Sus scrofa: one gene and its partners. The protein of the gene in region 2 interacts with the protein of the main gene of each other region in a pairwise test. Links are inferred from orthologs where the notes say so. Each region holds a gene or a part of one and is shown on either strand. Other genes may lie near its edges. The genes, in order: LDLRAD1, BNIP3, BCL2 and CLEC7A.

The links.
Region 1: the proteins of BNIP3 (region 2) and LDLRAD1 interact in binary tests that used the Homo sapiens proteins (3 or more experiments, as listed by UniProt). The two-hybrid records come from large-scale screens. The link is inferred for Sus scrofa from reciprocal best matches to the Homo sapiens genes BNIP3 and LDLRAD1.
Region 3: the proteins of BNIP3 (region 2) and BCL2 interact in a two-hybrid assay, tested with the Homo sapiens proteins (2 studies listed by BioGRID and IntAct). The link is inferred for Sus scrofa from reciprocal best matches to the Homo sapiens genes BNIP3 and BCL2.
Region 4: the proteins of BNIP3 (region 2) and CLEC7A interact in binary tests that used the Homo sapiens proteins (3 or more experiments, as listed by UniProt). The two-hybrid records come from large-scale screens. The link is inferred for Sus scrofa from reciprocal best matches to the Homo sapiens genes BNIP3 and CLEC7A.

What each region holds. Positions count from the first base shown.
Region 1 is NC_010448.4:158,298,720-158,302,339, forward strand, and holds part of LDLRAD1 (low-density lipoprotein receptor class A domain-containing protein 1), read left to right. Parts: intron 1-1,568; coding exon 1,569-1,697; intron 1,698-3,147; coding exon 3,148-3,296; 3' UTR 3,297-3,620.
Region 2 is NC_010456.5:140,369,152-140,373,323, forward strand, and holds the start of BNIP3 (BCL2/adenovirus E1B 19 kDa protein-interacting protein 3), read right to left. Parts: upstream 2,801-4,172; 5' UTR 2,600-2,800; coding exon 2,554-2,599; intron 1-2,553. UniProt on the Homo sapiens protein: Apoptosis-inducing protein that can overcome BCL2 suppression. May play a role in repartitioning calcium between the two major intracellular calcium stores in association with BCL2.
Region 3 is NC_010443.5:158,336,174-158,340,258, reverse strand, and holds the start of BCL2 (apoptosis regulator Bcl-2), read right to left. Parts: upstream 2,857-4,085; 5' UTR 1,515-2,856; coding exon 933-1,514; exon of another isoform or gene 1-932. UniProt on the Homo sapiens protein: Suppresses apoptosis in a variety of cell systems including factor-dependent lymphohematopoietic and neural cells. Regulates cell death by controlling the mitochondrial membrane permeability. Appears to function in a feedback loop system with caspases.
Region 4 is NC_010447.5:61,831,541-61,835,887, reverse strand, and holds the start of CLEC7A (C-type lectin domain family 7 member A), read right to left. Parts: upstream 2,862-4,347; coding exon 2,759-2,861; intron 571-2,758; coding exon of another isoform or gene 472-570; intron 1-471.

The DNA of each region.
Region 1 (3,620 bases), on a different chromosome or scaffold from region 2:
CAGAGGAGATCTTAAAAGTCAGCTAGGGAGTTCCTGTCGTGGTGCCGCGGAAACAAATCTGACCAGGAACCATGAGGTTGCAGGTTCAATCCCTGGCCTTGCTCAGTGGGTTAAGGATCTGATGTTGCCTTGAGCTGTGGTGTAGGTTACAGACATGGCTCAGATCCTGTGTAACTGTGGCTCTGGTGTAGGCCAGCGGCTACAGCTCCGATTCGACCCCTAGCCTGGGAGCCTCCATATGCCGCAAGTGCAGCCCTAAAAAGCAAAAAAAAAAAAAAAAAAAAAAAGTCAGCTAGTCCATGTCCCAGCTCGAGCCCACATCCCCTCTGCCACTCAGCCCCTACTTGCCCACTCCTGGAACGGGGAGCTCACTGCCACTTGAGGCAGCTGATCCCATCACTGCCTGGTTTTCCATGGGAAGGTCTCCCTTGTGCTGAGTTTAGAGCCGCCTCCCAGTAGCATCCTTGATTGGTTCCAACTCTGCCCGGTCAGCAACCCGTGCCCCCCACAAGCTACAGTTCAATCTGTCTCCCACGATGGTGGCACTGCATGGACTTGCCCCCCATGAGTGTCCTCTTCCCCGGCCACCTCTGAACTCCCCGTTGCCTTGTGACTGGTCTTCCCCTTTCCGCCAGCACACCGAACAACACAGACCAATGCCCGTGCCCCTCTCCCTGGACTGGCTCCAGAAACATCCATGACACTTCTGACGAACTCCGGCCAGTCCAAGAAACAAAGGCTTTTCCCCTCCCAAGTCTGGGTTATACCTTTAATGATGTGGCCTGAGTTTATGTTAATTTTTGGTAGCCCTGTCATGCTGCTGACTAACACAGAACCCACTTTTAAGAAAGATGCTCTGGGAGTTCCCGTTGTGGCGCAGTGGTTAACGAATCCGACTAGGAACCATGAGGTTGTGGGTTCGATCCCTGGCCTTGCTCAGTGGGTTAAGGATCCAGTGTTGCCGTGAGCTGTGGTGTAGGTCGCAGACGTGGCTCAGATCTGGCGTTGCTGTGGCTCAGGCGTAGGCTGGCGGCTACAGCTCTGATTCGACCCCTAGCCTGGGAACCTCCATATGCTGCAGATACGGCCCTAAAGAGCCAAAAAAAAAAAAAAAAAAAAAAAAAAAAAAAAAAACCCACACCGCCTGATCTGGGATCCAAGTGCAAAACTTCACATTTTCTCTTTTTATATTCCATTCAGTGGAAGCTTCCTGGAGGTGAAGGAACTTGAACCTGGACTTGCAGGTGGAATGGTTCTGGACAGGGGTTGAGGAGGAACTTCTGGAGGGAGGAATAGAGCAAAGCAATGGCAGGGAGGGGGCGGCTCAAGGGAGTGAGGGTGGGAGAGGCAGCTCCGGGAGCCCTGCTGGGTGAACAGCCAAAGAACCCTCCCCTCTCCTTGACTTGACCTCCTCCCCAGGAAAACTCCTTGTCCCCTTCCTGGGATTGGATGGGTCGTGACCCTGCGTTTGACAGCTGCCAGGGTGGCCAGAACAATCCTCCTTCAGACAGCTCTGAGCCAGCTGTGGCCAGATGCAGACTGCCTCTCACCCCATCTGCCCTCTGCAGGAGACGTGCCCCAGAGCCTCCCCAGCTTCCTGGTGGCACACTGTGGAGACCCCGCTTTCTGGATCTACTCAGACCAGAAGTGTGATGGGTTCAACAACTGCGGGGACTGCTCGGATGAACTGAGCCCAGGTGGGGGTCTGGGTGCAGGCTGGGCTGGGGCAGTTGGCTGGGCAGTAGTCAGGGGGTAGAAGTTGACCAGAGACTCTCCCAGGCTTCCCTTGCATCCCCTTCATGCATCCCAGGAAGAAGTTTTCCACTCCCGCTTGAATGCCTCGACTGGCAGGGTGCTCACTACCACTCCCAGTGGCTCCTTCTCAAGGGTTATTCTTTTGTGGTGGGGAACTTACCTTCAAGGGCATAGATGAGGAAACTGGGACCCAGAGGGCGGTCATGGAAGGAGTACATACATGGTCTAACTGGGGTTTGAACCTGGGCTTCCCTCGTCTCCCCTGCACCATCCAACAACCGTGCAAGGAAAGCAGGGCAGGAGTCACTGAGCCCAATTTATACACAGGTAAACTGAGACCAGAGGGAGAAGGGACAAAATAATGAGTAATAGGAAGGGATTGTGGGTCTCTTGACTTTAGGACTGGAGTTTTTTCACTGTCCCGGGTTTTCCTTCCAACCTCTTCCCTGCTGTTCGATCCACACACACATTCTGAGCACGTTGGGGGTTGGCCTGGTGCCAGGTTCTGCTAGGGGACAGTCAGGAGTCAAATAAGTGTCCTACTCCCATGACTCACATCATGTGATGCCAAAAGGAAGTGCTGGGGTCCTGGAGAGGTTTCTTTTGTGGGGGGCGGGGGAGTAAAAATCAAGGGAGGCTTCTGAGAAGAGGCGGCATTCAAGCAGGCTTTAAAAAATGGATAGGGGGATGTTATTGTGACTCGGCAGATTACCAACCTAACTAGTACCCATCATGACTCGGGTTCGATCCCTGGCCTCGATCAGTGGGTTAAGGATCCAGTGTGGCTGTGAGCTATGGTGTAGGTCACAGACATGGCTTGGGTCCCTCATTGCTGTGGTGTGGCTGTGGTATAGGCCGGCAGCTGTAGCTCCAATTTGATCCCTAGCCTGAGAAACATGCTGCCAGAAAAAAAAAAAAAAAAAAAGGCAGAAAAGGACAGGTTTCAACAGGCAGAGGCCAGGTGTGCAGGGGAGAATGCTAGCGGTCCAGGGTCCAGGGCAAACAGGGGAGTCTGCAGGGCGCCCTAAAGGAGTCATAAGCAGGCTGGTGCCGCTGAGTCAGGGTGAGAGAGGAGGGCGGGGTGACATGTGCCCGGCAATACCTGAGCATCGACTGTGGGCCTGGCGCTTTGCCTATCGTCCTTAACAGCAGCCTTGAGCTGATGAGGAAACTGAGGCTCAGACAGGGTGAGAGATTTGCTTGAGACAACACAACCTATGAGCTGGGGAGCCGGGATTCTCTCTCCTGTCGGGGAATGAGGAATGTAGTTACCCGTGTCAGCGGAGGTGGGGCTATGGGAGCCATGGCAGGTTTCAGAGCTAGGGAGTGCCCTGATGCACAGGACATTCCAAGACACAGCAGCTGTTCTTCTGCCGGCTCTTGTCTTTCCAGTGACGACGTGCCCACCCTGTGGCCCTGAGTGGTGGCGCTGCCCCTCGACCGTCTTCAAATATTGCACCTGCATCCCCAGGAGCCTCTGCCGGGATCACGTGCAGCACTGCTCCGACTGGTCAGACGAGTACTCCTGCCCTGGACCTTGAGTGGGTCGCCGAGGCCAGAGTGGGCAGCTGGTTAAAATGGCACTGATAACCCCCCCACACACACAAGAGCTAGGAATCCAAGTGCACAAGGGCAGGAAGGAGCCTGTGGGATCATCTAGTGGGATCTACACACCGTTGCCTCTGAATAAGAATTGCCTCTCGTGCTTTCGAGGGTTTCAGCCTCTGCTTGAACCCTTCCAGCGACGGGGAGATCACTACCATGTCAAGTAGCTCCTAGCAATGATGAGAGAACCTGCTTCCATGATTTGAAGCTTGTCTCTGGGTCACATGGAGGAAAGATGCCCCTCTACTCTGAGACAGGCT
Region 2 (4,172 bases):
AGGAAGCCAGGGTTGCCACTGACCCCCTTCCACCTGCAGTCACGAGCGCCCTCGCCTTCCTGGGCCAGAAAGATGGGAGCCAGGCTGCTTCACGGCACCGCCTCAGCAGCACAAATAACCTGTCAAGTCACTGGTACAATGAGGCCTCAGAAAAAACAGGTGGTGATACCTCTGCCCAGACTCGGGCCCCTGCCCACACCTGCCTACCACGCACACAGCAGGACACAGGGCAGGTGAGCATGGCAGGTGAGAAGGATGAGCAGCCTCGGCTGCTCATTCGAAGTCACATCACAAAAGGGGCTGACAAGCCTTAGACTTGTTAGCCCGTCTTGATGTTCATTCGTTTTGTTAAAACACAAACTGTGACCCCTTTCTCCACAGTCCTGCCTCCACAGTGAGACGCCAGGCCCTGGGTCCCAGAGCCCCCGCACCCTGGTCTGGGCTGGCAGGCCTCCACCCAGGCTACCGAGGACCGCCTGCGGTGCCCTCCCCGCTCTCTGGAGTCCCACCCCCGGTTCGGAAGGCTGGGTCAGAACCCAGTCGGGGCATTTCCTTTGCAAAAACTCTTGCGGTGATGAAGGTTTGAAAACTGCTAGGCAAGTTCCTAGGAGACAATGGGATCGAGGTCACAGAGGCCCCCGGAGAAGCGCCCCCATCCCAGGCAGAGCGGCTCACTAAGCCTGCAGGCAACCACCACCCGAACCAGCTGGGGTTTTACGAAGTGACAGTTTTAAAAAGCTTCTCAAGTTGGGTGGGACAGGACAGAGGCCTGATGAACCGGGAAGTCGACCAGGCAGGTCACCGAGGCTCCAAGAAGCAGGAGCTGATTAGTCGCACCCTCCGCCTGCCTGGCGAGCGCCCTGTCGCTGAGGCTCCAAGCCGCCCACCAGCACCCAAAGGAGGCGGCCCTGAGAAGTCACTGCGGCCTCATTCACTCCTCTCTGGGCCAGGACCTAGTGTCTGAAATGTCACCCTACTGCACCGGACACATGCGCTACTCACCTTCCTCTCCATGCGCCCGGGCCCCTGGTGGGCTGCTGGTGACAGCAGAACCCTAGGGCTGCAGGAGAAGGGCTGGGGCGGCCTCGGGCACCCCAGGGCACCTCACGGCGCTGGTCAGGCCCCAGCAGAGCAGGGAGGGCGTTCTCCAGGACAGTAAGTCTCCCCCCCACACACACTCTAGCAGCTGTTTATCTGAGGAAAAGGTCGAGCTGCCAGTCAAGAGCTCTGAGCGGGAAGGACCAGGAGTCCAGAGGGAGCCATCAGCTTGGCTGTGAACTCGGGAGACACCCAGTCAAAGGCGGGAGCAGAGGGGAGAACGCGTGCTGCTGTCCGTCGGTGGGGCTACCAAGGCTCAGCGTTCTTTCCAAGGTAAACAAGAGGCAGTCAAACCAAAACAGAGCTGAGGACAGGCGCCACCAACCCGGGCGGGGACTCACGTTTCTCAGGGCGGACCCGGGGCCCATGTGACCCTCTGGGCAGGACCCTGAGCAAGTGCCCCACAGCACGTACCCGAGAGGAGCCCAAAGAGCCCAGCAGGAGTTTCCACTCGGCCTGCAACTGTCTTTTTATAGAATAAACAAAACAGAAAAACAAATCTTTTAACTTGGGAGCTGGCCTTCTGCATTGCCAATGACTCAGCAGTTTGGTGTGTCAATCAAGGAACGGAGATGGGGGCTCTGGGCGCTTAGAACCCTTCCAGACACAAATCTCAACCACCAAAGCACGAGGTCAGAAGCGTAGACGAGTGACCACGGCATCCTCGGTGGTGAGAAAAGACAGATTCAATCTCAACCTGTTTCCAAGAAGATAAGCAGTGTTGAAATTTAATGAGATGACAGGATTTTTAAACTGTCGTCTTAGTTCTAAATGCACATTATACAACGCATTACACCGAGTCTTACTTAGGAAAAGCTTGTTGGAAGGCGTAAGAAAATGTGGCTAAGTTCAGATAACAAAAAGGTTTTCAAAAACTTAAAAATGCACCCGCAAAGGTTTCGACGGTCCTCTCCAAACTTATTTACGTGCTCCCGCTGCCTAAACTCTTGCTTCAGAGGATCCAAAGGTCGCGCGCACGGCCCCTCCTCCAGCCCGCGGCCGCGGGGCTCCCCAGGGACAGGACCGCGAGGCCGGACCCCGCGAGCCCGCTTTCCGGGAGGGGCAGGGGGTCCCCGCCTCGCCGGCCACCAGTCCGCGTCCAGCTTGGCTTTGGAACGACCCCCAGGACGAGAGAACCTGAGCTTCAGGGAAGAGCTGGCGGCGCGCCCCCGCCGTGTCTAAGCGGCCCCCCGACGCTGACCGGCGCCCCGCACCCCCGGCAGCCCCGGCAGCCCACGTCCCCCAGCCGCGCCTCCGGACCGAGCCGACGACGCTGCAACCACGTCCACGAACTCCACCCGCAAGCCAGGCGTTTGCTCGCCGGTACCGGCACGGGCCCTGGGCTGCGCCTCTGCCGTCCGGGGAGGCTGCACCCGCCGCGCCCCGAGCCCGCGGCGCCCGGCCTCCCGGGGGTCCCCGCGCAGCCCCTCCACCAGGCCGCCCGGGCCCGCTCACCGTGCAGGCTCTCCTCCTGCAGCCCGGGGGCCTCGCTCTGAGACATGGCGGCGGGGCGGCGGGGGCCGGAGCCGAGCTGCGGCCGCAGAGGGACGGGGGGAGGCGGCAGCGGTGGCGGCGGCGGCGGCGGCGCGGGCCTAGCAGCTCGAGCGCGGTCGGCCCGCGGCCCGACTGACTGACGCTGGCGGCGGACGCACGGCGGATAAGCGGCGGCGAAGCGGCGGCGCCGCCCATTGGCCGCGGGGCGGGGCCTTCGAGGGCGCGTGCGGCGCGTGCGACGCGTGCGCGGGGCGGGGGCGGGGGAGGGGTCGCCTGAGGAGTGGAGCGCGCGTGCGCTGGCCGGGCGGTGCGGAGGGGGCTGCGCGTGCGCAGGCGGGACGGGGCGCGGGGCGGGGCGGGGAGACCCGGGCCGGGAGCGCGCGCCCTGGGGGGCGAGGCGTGGGAAACCGGCAGGTGCGTGTCGGACGTGCGGGCCCCGCGGAGAAACCTAGGCCGGCGGGAGGCGGGGCCTGGCGGGGCCTGGGCGTCGGTGATACTGCCTGAGGCCTGACCGCGCTCCCTCTGACCGCGGGGAGGAGAGCAAGGGAGGCGGGGCAGCCAGCCGAAGGCGGCGCTGGCAGTTTGGCCGGCGTCCTGAGGCCACCAGCCGGTCGCCCCTCTCAGTTGACCGCCTTTTGTACGTCAGCCTGGCGGGAAGTCAGATCAGAATCTCTGGCAACAGGTCTGGGATGCCGCACATCAGCCCTGTGACCACAAGGCCTAAATGGCCAGGACTTGATCAGCGATGACAGCTTCCCCGACTTCGGTCCCTGCCTCCAGCTCAGGACCAACCAGAGAAAGACAGATAGGACCAATATTTGCGTCCCTAGCCAATCGCAGGGACGCGGCGGATGCTCATGAGAGGGGCATCAATCTTGCTTTCTCTCTGGATGTCCAGGAGCTGGCCTTGCTTTCAGGCTGACTGTCCTTCTCATTTTCACTTGCTCATGGTGCGTGGAGCCCACGCCGCCCCTGTCCCAGCGGCATTCTAGTTGGGTGCAGCCAGGAACAAACAGAACAGCGTGTCCCTGCAGAGGCGCGAATTGCAGTCTCTCAGTGTTCCCACCCCAGCCCTCCCCAGGCGCCCCTCCCAGCTCCTCGGCCCCTCTTCCTGGGGAAGCAGCTGCGGTATTGAGCCTTAGGGCCCACAGACACCCTGTGTTTGGCCATCATTTAGGTGTTCTTTGACTTTTTTCTCAGCAGTATCTTGCAGTTGTCAGGGTTCAGGGCTCGCACATCTTTTGTCAGAGGCATCTCTAAATATTCATACTTTTAATGTTATGGTGACTACCGTTGTTAAATCTCATTTGATTGCTTTTTGAAAATATATAGGAATATGGATTTTAGTGTCATCACGTCTTGCAACCTGCTAAGCTCACTGAAGTTTTTTATAAGTCCTCGAAAAGACAGTGGCACCTGGTTTTCCTTCCCCATGTGGAACCCTCTACAGCTTCCAGCAAGTTCCATCACCCAGAGGACGCCATGCAAGGAAGTGGCAATGCCGGGACTTGAAGACCTGCTCCAGTGACAGGCCCTACTCTCACCTGCCCTGCCCTGAAAAACAGCCTCAGTGGCCTAGG
Region 3 (4,085 bases), on a different chromosome or scaffold from region 2:
ACTTCAACTAAAGTCAGAGCACAGGAATCCATAGCTAAGAATCAATTCTTCTATGCTTTATATAGATACTGTAGATTCACGTTTATCCAGCAGAGAAGACCCAAAATGATGTGAATTCTAGTTGGTGAAAAGTAAGACAGTAAAATTCCAGTAAACCTCAAAATCATACACAAGTTATAGAAATAGAACACAAAGCGTGCAGCGAATGCAAATTCTGCCACTGATGAAATAAACACCCATAGATGAGTGTTCTTCAAGACAATGGGTCATGCCCACTGGGAATGTGGCTCACATTGCAGCTTGGAATGGCCGGACTTTTGGAAAGTCAACTTACAATTTACCTTTTCACAAACATCCAAGATTTTCAGGGAAATAGGCTCCATTGGTTTTCCTCTTTGGGTAGATGTTACCAAGTGAGGAGAAGGCATGACCTTGGTCTTCTGGGGGAGTCTGTTCTTCTAATTGGGTGGTTCTCACATCTTAGTACAAAGAAGAAACCCCCAGAGGGGCTTATTTCTGATGCAGATTCCCAGGGCCCAGCCTGAGGTCAGTTTATGAGTTGGCCCTGTCTCTGATTTCAAGGAGCTACTCAGGCCAGGTACAGTAATGCTGGGGATCCTTGGACTCCCAGTTTGAAAAACACTGAAGGGATACCATTATCCCAAGAGCCTACTGAATAGCAAAGCCTGGATCTTTGAAACTCAACGGTTGGCAAGCAAGGCAAACAGTTTTGGCGGGAAGGAATGATCACAGTACGGTTGGCAGGGAGAGAGCTCTGAACAGGGGAAATGGGGAGGGAAGCCACAAACCTGATTTTATAGCACTGGCTCATCCGCCCGCCCTTGGTCGAGCAGCCCACCCACACTCCAACCACTGCATCTCAGACCCTTAACGCGCAGCCCAGACTCACATTCAACCACACATGCACCTACCCAGCCTCCGTTATCCTGGATCCAGGTGTGCAGGTGCCGGTTCAGGTACTCAGTCATCCACAGGGCGATGTTGTCCACCAGGGGCGACATCTCCCGGTTGACGCTCTCCACACACATGACCCCACCGAACTCAAAGAAGGCCACAATCCTCCCCCAGTTCACCCCATCCCTGAAGAGCTCCTCCACCACCGTGGCAAAGCGTCCCCTCGCGGTGAAGGGAGTCAGGTGCAGCTGGCTGGACATCTCGGCAAAGTCGCGGCGGTAGCGACGAGAGAAGTCATCGCCGGCCTGGCGCAGGGTCAGGTGGACCACAGGTGGCACCGGGCTGAGTACAGGCCCCGCGGCGGCGGCGGCGGCGGCGGTGGCGGCGGGGGCGGTCGGGGTCGGCGGCGGCGAGGTCCTGGCGGGAGCGGGGGTTCGCCCGGGCTGGGAGGAGAAGATGCCCGGTGCGGGAGCGGCCCCCGGGGACGCGGCGCCCGCGTCTCCGGCATCCCACTCGTAGCCCCTCTGCGACAGCTTATAGTGGATGTACTTCATCACTATTTCCCGGTTATCATACCCTGTTCTCCCAGCGTGCGCCATCCTTTCCCAGAGGAAAAGCAGCCGGGTACCAACAGCACCTCTCGCCCCCGCTTCCCACCCCACGGCCCCGAAAGAGAGAATAGTTATAATCCAGCTATTTTATTGGATGTGCTTTGCATTCTTGGTTGAGGGGGTGTCTTCAGTCACGCGGAACACTTGATTCTGGTGTTTCCCTCTTGGCATGAGATGCAGGAAATTTTTATTTAAATTCCTTTCGGATCTTTAGTTCATGAGGCACATTATTAATTATTGTTAATATCAGTCTACTTCCCCCGTGATGCTGAAAGGTTAAAAAAACTAATCAGTCAAAATCAGGTGCATTTCCCTTTATACACTGGGTGAAAGCAGGGCTTAACACACTACAAGTTACACAGCTGAAAAGAATGTATTAAACTGCCTGGAAATTAAACTTACTCGAATGCACTTAAAAGTTAAAATCTCAAATGTTTCCATTGAAAGTTACATTAAGCCAATTTTCTGTGCAAAGAACTTACTTGTATTTTTTAAGGACAGCATGATCCTCTGTCAAGTTTCCTTTTTGTGAAAACAAAACAAATGCATAAGGCAAAGATTCCATCAATCTTCAGAACTCTCCAGTTATAGCTGCTTTGAAACTTCCAAATGAATCAGGAGCTGGGGGAGGAGGTGTAAAAATTAGGAGAATTTCCAGTTTGATTCCCAGACTTCTCCTTTACAGAAATGTCAATCCGTAGGAATCCCAACCAGAGATCTCAAGAGCACGAGAAAAGAAAGGCAGCGGCGGCGGCAGATGAATTACAATTTTCAGTCCGGGATTTGCAGAAGTCCTGTGATTTTTCCCCTCTCGGCAATTTACACACGCACACACACGCGCGGGCACGGACATGGATTTCTATCCGCGGGGCCGCTTCACGCCTCCACGGGAGAGAGACAGGGACCGGGGGCCGGTGGACGAGCCGGGGACGGGGACAGGAATCCTCTTCTGATTAAACTCCGAACGGCAAATGCATTTTCCGAAAAGCTGCTTGATAAATGAAGGCTGGACGCACCCGGCCCGCCGGTGCCGAGCGCGAGAAGCCCGCGCTGTGTGTGGTGCGGCGAGGGGTGGGGAGAAGGAGGTGGTGGGGGAGGGTTTTATTTTTTCCCTCTTTTCCTAAAAAGGATGACTGCTACGAAGTTCTCCCCCCTGGACCCCCTCTTCCGCTGCACCCCACCGGCGCACCCCGCCTCCGGGCTGCGCACCCTTTCTCCTCCTCCTGCTCCTGCGCGGCAGAGCTGGCTGCGCCCGCCTCCCCCGCGCTCCCGCTCAGGGCGATGACGGCCGCGCCGGCGGGGAGGGCTCGGCTCCCGGCACCTTCGCTGGCAGCGGCGGCGGCGGCGGCGGCGGCGGCAGCGGCGGCGGCTCGGCGGGGAAACCGAGCTTGGCGGGCGGGAGCCCGGCGGGCGGGGGCCAGCGCAGGGAGGAAGGGGGCGGGCGCGGGGCCGGGGGGGCTGGCCTCTTACTTCATTCTCCTCTAACCGACTGGTTTCCTGTATGTACGTCACACTGTTCATTCAAAAAAAGAAGAAAGAAAGAGCCCTCCTCGGAGCCGCCCCACCGCCCCCTCCGCCCCCTCCGCCCCGCTCCCCTTCCCTGGGTTAAAGGAGCCGCGGCCGGCTCTGGAGCGGCGCGCCCCGCGGGGACACATGGCGCGCAGGGCCGCGGCCGGGGAGGGCGAGCCCGGGACAGCCCCCGCCCGCCCGCTCGCTCAGCCTGCCCGCTGGGCCCAGCCGGTGGGTGGCGCGGGCGGCGCAGGCCTCCCGCGCGGCCGCGGCGCGGTGGGTGTGCGCGGGGCCTCTTCGGGCCTTCGGAGGGCCCGGCGAGCGGCCAGGGCCGCCGGGGGAACCGCACGCGGCCGGATGGGTGGCTGCTAGGGGACGGGGGTGGGCGCCAAGAAAACAAGCGCCAGTAATCACTTCGGCCCTAACCGCGCGCGCGCTCCCGTGTGTGTGTGTGTGTGTGTGTGTGTGTGTGTGTGTACACACAAGCCCTTGTGTGTGTGTACACACAGCAGCCCCTGTGTGTGTACACACCAGCGCTTGGCAGATGCTGACCGAAGCAAAGAGACCTCAGCGCTGCCCTCCGAACGGAGGCGACGCTGCTGCACATTCATCAGCGAGGGAAGCCCCAAGCGTGTGTTTACTTTCAAGTTGCTTCCTAGGTGTCCACGCAGAGAATACACTTCGGTGACACCATCCATGACCAAAGCCAGACATAGCTCTCAGTGGCCCGGCAGAGGGATTAGTGGGGTATATACCAAGGGCTTTCAAGTGGTTAAGTCAATGTTTTTCCTCTACTAACAGTCTGGGCACTGGGTTAGGGGCTGCCCGCCACGCTACCGTGGGAGGCTACAGGGCTACCTTAAGGCCCCAAGCCCCCAAACCAGGGTAAGTGGGTCCACGGCCACCTAGCAGCCAATCTAGATAGCTGCACCTTCTCGAGTTATTTATACACAAACACAGACTCGCACACGCACTATATACACATTTTTTTTTATTCACAAGCATGAACAGCCCCCAGGAGAAAGGCACAAAGAGCAAACAAGTGGCATG
Region 4 (4,347 bases), on a different chromosome or scaffold from region 2:
TGCTGCAAGTATTTCCTGGTATTATCCAAAAAAAAAAAAAATTCAGATTAAAGGACCAGGTACAAAACACTTTCTTTAAATCATGAGATATAAAAATGTCTTATAGTCTTTTTAAAGAATTTATTTCATTAGGAAGATAAGCACTAATTGTACTTCCTTCTTCACCTCCGCTGGTTTCCTCTCATTCATTTACCCTAGGAATTCCACAGCTTTGAAACCAGCTATTCAAGAAGGTAGTAGATCACTGCAGTTAAAAGTATGAGTTTTTTAGACATACTGCCTAAACATCCAATCACGTTCCTACCATTAACTGGTTTATGATGCCAGGACTAAAATAAGAACTAATAGCACTAATTCAATAAGGTCAATATGCAGATTAAATAAGATTATGTTACACTCTTAAAAGAGTGCCTAGATCATTACACATTTTTAATTAAATATCTGCCATTGCTCATCTCCTCCAGTACTCACCCATGGTACCCAGGACCACAGCTATCACCAACATTAACAAGCATAAAATTCCCAAAGTCACAGTAATGGGTCGCCAATAAGGGGATGCAGCACAAGGTCCTGAGGAGCCAAAGAGAGCAGAAATTGAGTAAAGTAACTGGATAATGGATCATGGAACATTTCAGTTCTCTAGTTCATCAAAATCTGATCCCCGAAATATCTACTCATCTGGAATAATCTGAATTTTTCTCCCCTTTTAGCAATACCTCTTCATGTTTCTGAAACTGTAACTTGAGTGCAGTGCCTTGGTATTTGTGCACTCTAAATTTCAGCTCCACATTGATGTTTATATGTCTTACACTATCAGGATTCCTGAAAGCATACTCCTTCTTGAGACAGCTTCATGGAGCAGAAATAGCACTGGTTTCTAAGAGTAATCTTCCCCTTTCTCTTATTTGTTGCATGCTCTTGGGAAAATTATGCCCTCTGGTTTTTGTTTTTGTTTTTTTTCAATTCTCTTTGTGAAAAGTGAGGGTACTAATACATCAAAATGTTATTATGAAAATTAAATAAGTTAACACACATAAAGGCACCTAGACTACTAGCACAGTCTAGATAACCCACCGTTTAACCACACATACATGTAAACACACACATACCTCCCTATCTTTTGCATAGTTTTTCCACTCTCCCCCAACAGGTTGCCCAAGGAAAGAATTGCACAAGCGATGAGAGGAAAATAATTGTGCAATATGAATGAGCAGAAAGCAGAAGGGAGCAAATTCTGACGTCAAAACCTGTGAATAAACTCTCCCTTGATAACAAGAAATTCATTTTCTATTAATACCCCTACACCAAGATTGAGAATAGGCATTAAGAGCATTTCAGAGAATTTTCAAATAGGAGAATTACAGGGGAGATTAAATGGCTCATTCAATGAAGAGAGAGGTCTCTGCCGGCCTACACCACAGCCACAGAAACGTAGGATCTGAGCTGCCTCTGTGACCTACACCACAGCTTAGGGCAACGCCGGATCCTTAACCCACTGAGCGAAGCCAGGGATCAAACCCGCATCCTCGTGGATCCTAGTCAGGTTTGTTAACGCTAAGCCACAAAGGGAACTCCTAAAGAGACCAATGCCCTTGTCCAGGTTTCACTTCTTTTACATTTGGTTTAAGACTCGTGTCCTGATAATGGGATATTTTTATCTAACACATATATTTCTTCACTGACATACAAAAACTCCCTTTACAAAAAATAAAAAAAAAGAATATCAAATCAACCTCATTATCACACATACAAAAAATTCAGATTTGGGCTTCTAAGCCCTAAGACTTCTGACTTCTTTGGCCTTTTCCACAAAATCACAAGTTGTTTTTTCCATCTTTTCATTCTTCTCCTGATCTCCAGTATCTTGATGTTGTTCATATCCACTGCTTTGCCTTTCTTTTTTATTTTTGTCTTTTTTAGGGCCACACCCGAGGCATATGGAGGTTTCCAGGTTGGGGGTCAAATGGGAGCTGTAGCCACTAGCCCACACCACAGCCATAGCCACGCCAGATCTGAGCATCATCCGTGACCTACACCACAGCTCACGACAACACCTGATCTTTAACCCAGTGAACAAGGCCAGGGATCGAACCTGCGTCCTCATGGGTGCTAGTCAGATCTGTTTCTGCTGAGCCACGACAGGAATCCCTGCTTTACCTTTCCTTAAATCCCATGCTACAATTTACTCATTTCTATCAAGTAGGTCACTCCTGTCAAAATTCTTTCATCTTTGCATTTCACCTCACTTAGTACAACTTCTTACTTTGGAAGTGCCCATCTCTAGAGAATAGAGAAATTGTAGGTATTTTTCATCATCATAATAATTAACTTAAATAAATTTGACACTTGAACATCACTGGGGTTAAGGGCATCTACCCTCCCACAGTCGAAAAAATTCCTCTATAACTTATGGTGGACCCTCAGTATTTGACGTTCTCCATATCTACATTCAGCTTCCACAGATTCAGTCAACTTCAGATGGTGTAGCACTGTAGTATTTATGATTAAAAAACCTCCATATATAAGTGGACCTGTGCAGTTCAAACCCCTGTTGCTCAAGGGTCAACTGTACTAATGATTGGTCACTGAATGGTTGCTGAGAGAAAAGGCTTCGTGCACATTCAAAGAATCTTCAGCGATTTCTGAAAATCAACATATAGTAATAAAAGCCCAACAAATCACGTCTCGCCTCTCTTTTCCACTTCCAATTTCAGTTGATGAGATTGACAATGTTGAAATCAGAAAGAAAAAAAAATACCTTTCTCGGAGACCACAGATCTCCTGGTGAGGTTGTGAGAGCTGAAGTCTAACTGAGTGTATCCATCTTCATCCACATTTTCTAAAGGAGACTGGTATTCCATGGTTCAAGTGAGTTTCTAAACTGACACAGCATTTGCGAGCTCATCCCTCTCTTCTCCTAAGACAAGTGCCTCTAGACAAAAGAGGATCTAGGAGTCAAATCATGTGGGATTGGTTTACTAAGCATTAACAAGTAGTCCGACCAGCTACCCAAAAGCAGGAAATGAAAACTAGGCTGTGGTAACTTCCCATTGGTACCTTCAGATCCTGTTTCTGAGACTGATGTCACATAAAAAATGAAAAGGTAGCACACGAGATAGATCTTTGTTTCAGGCCAAATGTAAGACAAATGACACCATTCATGTCTTGGGCTGCTTTCATCAGTCTCACAACTGAATTGGACATCATCAGTTGACTTGGCCTAGGTAAACTTAAAATAATTTTGATACCTTGAATTCACCAATACTTTGCTAGACCTATACATTCATTCATTTACTCATGTACTCACGCTTCTAGTAAACACTTAGCAAATATCCATCTTTTCATCTGGCCAGAGCTGGGATTAGAAGAACAAAATGATTACCTGTGAAGAATCTCACTGACTAACAGAAGAACCCAGAGACAGTAGCTATAGGAAGGATGCCATTAGAAGGTACACTGTAACACATCTCTTTGGGATTTGTCAGGGTTGATAATACAAAGTAGTACATTATTTATTCAACAATGACTATGAGCTAAGTACTACCCATCTACATGTTCTCTCATACAATCTCAGTTTTCCAACAAGTCTGTGAGCTAGACACTACTGGTCCTATTTCTTTTAGTCCTATGTATTATTTTTCATATAATTTTCCATTATTATTTATACAAGATTTATACGCACCCATGGGTATATAGAAGTTCCCATGCTGGGGTCAAATTGGAGCTACACCTGCCAGCCTCCCCCACGGCCACAGCAACACAAAATCTGAGCCACGTCTGTGACCTGCATCATAGCTCATGGCAAAGCTGGATCCCAGACCACTGAGCAAGGCCAGGGATCAAACCTGCATCCTCATGGATATTGGTCAGATTCATTTCTGCTGTGCCACCACAGGAATTCCCACAAAACATTGAATATAGTTCCCTGTGTCATAGTGTAGGACCTTGTTGTTTAGTCCTATTTTCAAATGACAAAAATGAGACATAGAAATTTTATCCACTTGCTCAATTTTAAGAAACTACTAAAAATATTGCAAGGAATGAAACCAAAGTCTACTCTTACTGCTAAACCCATGACCTCTTCTGTTATGCTACCATTCCATACGCTTACATGGCAAGTAACAGCTTATAGAGAATTCTGGGACTGAATATTATATTAAATACTTGATGTTTCCTCTTTTCCGATTTCCATAGTAATTCCCAAATTAATGAGATATGGAAAACACTTATCATTGCTGGAAACTAGAGGTACTCAACCCATTCACAAGATTTTGAAGCAAACAGAGTGAAGGAGATATCTGGCAGTTGTCGAAGACAAAAAACCCTAGGCCCTCATTAAAGCAGCAA